Saccharomyces cerevisiae S288C: one gene and its partner. The protein of the gene in region 2 purifies or fractionates together with the protein of the main gene of each other region. This does not show direct contact. Each region holds a gene or a part of one and is shown on either strand. Other genes may lie near its edges.

Region 1 (3,013 bases), on a different chromosome or scaffold from region 2:
CTTGTCTAAGACCTCTATATCTTGCAATACCTGAGACTTTAAAGAATGGTCTATTTTCAGCAAAAGGCTTCTCCTTTCCAGCGTAGCTTCGTTGCTGAACCCGCCTAACAAAAGGTCCTTGGTACTATCTTCTTTTCTAGTGGGAAGTTGGTTCTCCTCTAAAATGTCGGGATTTTCATTCAAAAACTCAGACATGTGTACTATAAGTGATAACAGGAAATCGTAGAATAATGCAGTAGCAAGATTTTATATTCGACTGGATCTTGAAATACTCGATTTTTTTGCTTGTTAGTCATCACTTATTCGCATTTAAATCTAATTCAATTATTCAAACACCGTACACCCAAGCATTGCGACTGAGAAGAGAGTGGTGGAATATTATAGTTTGATAAATAGAAAAATCTGTAGACTCAAATGGATCTCTTTATAAACAATAGTTGACATTATAGAAGTACGGATAAAATATATAACGTATATTATCGTTTCCGTCATTAATTAATCTATCCACCTTTCCTACCATCGTCTTGTTCTAGCTGCTCCCAGCTTCTTTCCACTATTCTTTGAATTAATGTAATGGATTGGTTACTTCCCTCATGTAGCACTTTGATATCTTCGACCTTGTATGGAGGTTGCACCTTAACGTCATCAAGAATAATGATGTCTTTAGCCACCCACTTAGTATCTCCTATGGTCTTGAAGATTTGATCGAAAATGAACTGACCCTCTGCACTCACACCCTTGCCCCTTAAGAGTTCTTTCTTTTTAGATGCTATTACACTTTCTTTCAAAAGCTTCTCAACTCTTTCCACGTTGACATATGAGGGTTTGATTTGTTGCTTTTTGAATGAGTTAAACGAGGGCTTATCACCAATGACTTCCAAATGCTTGATGAATGTACATTTTATCACCTTGAAGTTTTGTGGAGATTGATTCTTCTTTGTTGTTTGGATAGTAAGAGTGTTGTTGGATGAATTGAACGAATACAATCTTCCTTCAGTAACTACATCCAACACGTTCGTAACTTTTATTCTGAATCCGAGCGTTTGCTCAAGGCTGACACTCATGGACGAAAGATGCAAATTGATTTCTTTAGTTACAAGCTTAGATAACCGCTATTTACAAGCCTGGCTCAGAGTGTTTCCTTACCGTAATAAATATCCACCATTATATTCATGGTATAAGGTTTGATCGTTTTGTTTCCGCTAATATCATTCGCGCGACAAACTACGGAAATTTGCAAACTACCGTTTTTGCCATTTTCTAAGTATCTTCACAGTCGCTTTTGAAAAAAAAGACAGGGAAATTGATTCCACATCTTATTATATTACATGTCAAATTATATACAATTAATAGTTGTATTCAAAAGTTATCCCAATATTTCGCGGGCTTCTTTTAACGCTTCCATTGGAAATCCGGCCAATTCCGCAACTCTAATGGCATCTGATTTCGTGCAGATGCCCGGCTTCAACTTATGGTTGTAACAAAAATTGTTTCCACCTAAATCAGTGATTCCGCTTTGGTAAAACTTGACCTTTTCGCTCATTCCTTTCGAACATTTGTTATCAATGATTTGCTTCAGTTCTTGACCAAAATGTGTAGCAAAAAGCGTTCTGCATTGATTGTTCTCTAACAAATACTTTAAAGTTGCATAAGCGATGCTAATGCCTTCTTTACCACTAGTCCCACGGCCAATCTCATCTAGAATAGCTAAAGACCGTTCCGTAGCTCCTTGCAAGATGAACGATGTTTCTATCATCTCAACCATGAACGTACTCATCTCATTGTACAGATCATCTGCTGAACCAACTCGGCTAAAAAGCTTATCTACAATACCCACACGCGCCTTACTGCATGGAACAAAACATCCAATTTGCGCCAGAATGACTATAATTGCATTCTGTCTTAAGAATGTAGATTTACCACCCATATTCGGTCCGGTAATTACCCATAAATTGTCCTTCGCCAATTCGCAGTTATTGGCCGTGAATGTCTCCAAAGAGCGCGCGGAAAGACCCTCTTCAACCATTAGATGTCTCCCATTCACTACTTCTAGTTTATTGCTCTCATCCACTTTTGGGCAGACTAAATTTCTCTCGTTAGCTAACACAGCAAAGGACGATAAGGTATCAAGATAGCCCAGTGTAGTTGCAACTTGTCTGACCTCGTTACTTCTATCAATAAATTTCCTTTTAAAAAGATCAATAATATTAGCCTCTTCATTCCTAATCTTTAAATTTAATAATTCCAACTCGTGCCCCAAGTCTGTCCAAATTTTGTGACTCAACCATCGTGTTTGGCTTGATTTTTGCAAAATATGGAAGCAACTTCCGTGGTACTCCGTCGATTTACTAATTAACTCATCAATTTTCTTTAAACTAGAGGCTGTTCCTGTCACATGGAGGGCATACTCACCGTTTTGCCTTTCCTTCAAGGTGAAAGTCTTAGCACCTAGGTCGCCAACAAAAAAACCTTTTAATAAAGCATTGTACTCAGTTTTTTTTTGCCAAACGCCCTGATAAGTGTCATGCAATTTCCTAAGTTTGGTATTGAACGAAGGGTTTACGATAAAATCTCTTAATTCAAAAATCTCATCTTTGTTACTTTCTTTCTTGTCTTTTACATCTATGTCAAGCATTCTAGTTACATCTGCATTCTGTTTAGCATCTTGTGACTTTGCTAGCTCTTCCTCATTTAAAAACTTCAAAATATCATCAATCAAATTTTTTTCAAAATTTAAAGACTCAGTCAGCTGTGTGATTTGACTCTTTAATGTAGCTTTCATCAACGACGTGTTATTTAGTAAATATTTTCTTATTTCTCTTGAAACCTCTAGTGAACGTGCCATTTGAATAAGTTCTAATGCCTCGCCCCTTCCGAAACTAAACTTTTGAAGTATACGGGATAGATCATTTACTTTTTTCAACATAGTCCGTAGTGTTTCAGTGATATCACGGTTGTCTTTGAAAAATGCTACAATTTTCTGACGCTTTTTAATTTCTTTCAAATCAAGGGA
Region 2 (4,204 bases):
TCAAAATAAAAAAAATTAGTAATCTAACTGGCACAACAGATTGGAAGTATTTAACATTGTTTTCTAACAGGGGAATTAGATCATGAACACCGTTAAGAGTAAACAGAAGAGCGAAAAGACCCAATTGACCACTATAACGTGACAGTGTTAACTGCGGTAAATTCATCGCTTGCGTTAAGACTATGAAATATGTATTTTGCAAAATAGAATTAACGTTCTTTAAACAAAAGAAGGCGATCGTGAATAAAAATGCTACTCTGAAAAAAGCAATATTGGTGGAGTTCAAGGCTTGAGCCATTTTCTTAGAATTTATTCTTTACTTTTGCTGAATGCGATACTCTATTATGTTGTAAATTGTTACACTACCATTCAATTGTCTCTCTTTAAAGATTGATCGACATTATTTTCTTTACTTTTTTGGTGTTTTCGCGCTAAAAGTGGCGTGCTAAATGCCAAGTATTATTCTAAAAAATCATTACGCCATACACAAATATTGAAGACTATCTATCTAACTTAACACCAACTTGCTTTATTAAAGAGTCAATATCCTTCAAAGACTTAGTGAAATACAATTCATCGTCAATATAAGGTTCTTCACCGTCGCTATTGTTCAAGTTTTGTATTGATTTTAAGTAATCCTGCGTACACAGGATACTCACTTTACTGTCCGTCGTGGATAGTTCATTCCACTGCCTAATACTTAAATGGTTTTTCTTGTGTCTTTTATACGTTCTAATTGAATCATAGTTATTCTTTCGCAATACAAAGGCTATTGAACATATAGTCTTACATTGGGAACAAAATATATCGTATTCCTCATCTTCATCGTTTGGATCAGTATGCACCTCCAAAAGAGTTGTCCGTGGTACAATGGCCTGAATTTTCCGTATGCGTTTTAATTCAGTATTATAAAAGACGATCAATGAAGAGTAACATTGCCTAACAAAAGCATCATTGAACAATAGAGTATCTTTATTGTACTTGTCCAAAACATTGATCATTAAATCAAACATATCAAAAACACATGCTTTCTGAGTTAATTTATAATCCGTAATCGCACCAAATCCATATGGTAGCCAGAAATCTATAGTAAAATTGACAGCTTCATTAAAATTATAACCTGTATTAAAACCAGCATGGTAACATTTAGGAAACGTGATAATATATTCGTTGGGCTTTTGCACAGCTTTGTACACAGGAATACCTGATTTCTTGAAATTTGGATCGTACGGAGATATTAAAGTCACTAGCTGATGCAGTAGGTCTGGTTGTTTGATAAATAAGTCTGGTGACATATCATTTAATAGATCGTTGAATTTCGTACATCCCGATTCGGGAATGCTGTACCAGACCTTAGGGTCACCTTCATGTTGATAGTTAGCACTTAGGGTATACTGATCTTCCATATGCCAACAAAATGTGGAAAATAAGGAGCCTATGTAAATCCAAGGAATAGTCATGCCAGAAATATTTCTTTTAAATAACGGTAATAGCGAATTATGAGCCATAGGCAAGTTAGTTAAATTCATAGGATGATCGCAATATTTGAGGTAGTCTATCAATTCGTCCCCATTTATATTTTTGGGTATAAATTCTCTCGTCGGAAAGCCGGTAATTTGACCTGGCAATTCGTTATGTATGTCAGCACCGTATTTAACTGTCGTTAATGAACTGCGACGATTCTTGGTCACTAAGCTCCAAAACATCTCTTCCAACTCATCTATAGACAGTTTTCGTGCTGGTAATAACCTTGAATTTTGACGTTTACAATATTCTTGAAACTCTGGTAGAGAATAGTCATGCGTGTCCTGAGTGAATCCGTAATATCCGTTTCCGACGATACAAGTGTTACAAATCCAATCGCCAGAGGGAACACGTTCCAAAGGTGGTGATAAACAATATATATGGAATGGTTTGTCACATGAATCACATAAAATTGTTCTTTTTGGATCATTTGTCTTGCGACAAACAATACAAGCATCATCATCGTCCTCCTCAAAATCCGACCCAGAATTCGAATCTGGCCCAAGATCGAAATCGTCCTCGTCATCACTTAATAAGGATTTTGGATACTGGTCAGCATGCAGCGCCGTGTGCACGTTCTCGTTCAGTGAATGAAGAAATATGTAGTATGAGGCAATATATTTCTCAAAAATTTCCTTTAACAAGCCGATTGGTACGTTGAATTTTTTAGAAATGGTCCTCCATAGACTGATGTCGCCTCTTAATTGGGAAATATCTCTAAATTTCAATTTTCGCCTGAATGACTGTGTAGTGTCAGTAAGTGTCCGATTGTCTTTTATTAGTTCAGAGAAAACGTCATAAAAGTACACTTTTTTTTTTAGTATTTCCGATGCATGAGTAGAATCTGAATATTCTACAATCGTATAAGGTTCCCTAAGTATAAGTTTCGATGGATCCTTAACGGATCTTTTAAAATTATTTAACTGTTTCATAAAAAATAGCCTACACCTATTTTTCAGGTCTAGGTTCTCCAGATTTTGAATTCTTGGTTGAAAAGTAAAATTTTCCATATCAATAGAAAGTGGCGGGCAGAACCCGTTTGGTGGTACGACCTTGACCATACCATATCGTACACCAAGCCTTTTAATGTGGGGGTTAGAGAGATAATCGATCGGATTTTTGAATTCTTGTTCCGTTGGATACAGGGCAGGAATTTCCTCCATGATAGTGATACGTTTTTTGTGCAAGATGAGATTAGTTAATATGATCTAGAGGTAAAATTGACTAAGTAGTCAGATCTTATTCTACATTGAGCCTGCGTTGTCAACATGCACATCTCTGTCTCTTGGGATGATAATTTTTCAATGATGATTCCAGGGTTACTTTAACGTTACACAAAAGAAATTAATTAGTGCGGCTGTTTCTGTGAGCGGGGCAGTAAGTCCGAAGCCCTTGATATTAGCCCATACCCTACACATTTTACTCGTTTGCCCTACATCAGATAAAATACTGGCCCTAAGCCCTCCTAATCTCTTCTGGTTACACCTAGGGTAAAATATCTGCCTTTCTTTGCATTCAATGCGTTACTTCTATATCACGAGATGAGCATACGGATCGTGTATAATACTAAAAAGAAAGCTCCTGAAAGAGTTGTGACAAGCAAGACTGTATACTACTCCTTCTACGAAAGTTAGTTCGAGTTCTTGATGGCACTTGGCTATTCTATTTCTTGAACCTTTGAGAAAGAACAGAAGTAAAAGGCTGTGTATTCTGCTACATGAAATACAGTAGTAGTCACAGTACAAAAATACTCTAAACCAGTAATAAAGCCACATATATATGTATTTCCTTTCACGTGATGCGCTGGGATGTTATCATCTTATACGCAATTAGCCGCCCATATGCCACCCGGCGCACCGGGTCGCACACACACCCCCGTGATTCGCGATATATAGCGGCCAATCAACGGCGACCTCCAAGCGCGTGCCGGGTGGGCCCCTCGCCGGCCAAGCAGCGCAAGGATATTCCCATCTTCGAGCTCTTAGATACAACGCTTATAAAGAACGCACTTTTTGCATTAACCTCTTTTTTGTATTACAGAACAAACATTTTAACTTGCCCTTTTTTAAACTTTCTTTATCTCTCCAGGACAGGCCAATTGGATAAATTTTGCAAAGATCAAACAGTAACACAAATTTTAGCAACCTAAACCCCCCTCATAAACGAAGACAAAAGTGCTCCTCCTCAAGTCAAATTTGTCTTTCTTTTCTTTCATTTTTTAGTCTGTTGTTATCCAATTTATACTGAATCTTTGAGAGAAAACAAAAATAAAAAAAAGAATGGTTTTGCCAAGACTATATACTGCTACATCCCGTGCTGCTTTTAAAGCAGCCAAACAATCCGCTCCGCTTCTATCCACTTCGTGGAAAAGATGTATGGCCTCAGCTGCTCAATCTACTCCAATCACCGGTAAAGTTACCGCTGTCATTGGTGCCATTGTTGACGTTCATTTTGAACAATCAGAGTTGCCCGCTATTTTGAACGCTTTAGAAATTAAAACACCTCAAGGTAAGTTGGTTTTGGAAGTTGCTCAACATTTGGGTGAAAACACTGTCAGAACCATTGCTATGGATGGTACCGAAGGTTTGGTCCGTGGTGAAAAGGTTCTTGACACTGGTGGCCCTATCTCCGTCCCAGTTGGGAGAGAAACTTTAGGGAGAATCATCAACGTTATCGGTGA

What was found.
Region 1: the proteins of JHD2 (region 2) and LSM12 purify together in Saccharomyces cerevisiae (affinity purification with western blotting; 2 studies listed by BioGRID, with this or other methods). This does not show direct contact.

What each region holds. Positions count from the first base shown.
Region 1 is NC_001140.6:350,807-353,819, reverse strand, and holds LSM12 (Lsm12p), read right to left. Parts: upstream 1,065-3,013; coding exon 501-1,064; downstream 1-500. Other genes in the region: iron-sulfur cluster assembly protein CIA2, read right to left, coding at 1-195; mismatch repair ATPase MSH1, read right to left, coding at 1,367-3,013.
Region 2 is NC_001142.9:643,804-648,007, forward strand, and holds JHD2 (histone demethylase), read right to left. Parts: upstream 2,688-4,204; coding exon 501-2,687; downstream 1-500. Other genes in the region: ILM1 (Ilm1p), read right to left, coding at 1-298; DMO1 (Dmo1p), read left to right, coding at 3,323-3,673; ATP2 (F1F0 ATP synthase subunit beta), read left to right, coding at 3,804-4,204. UniProt on the Saccharomyces cerevisiae protein: Histone demethylase that demethylates 'Lys-4' of histone H3, thereby playing a central role in histone code. Demethylates trimethylated H3 'Lys-4'.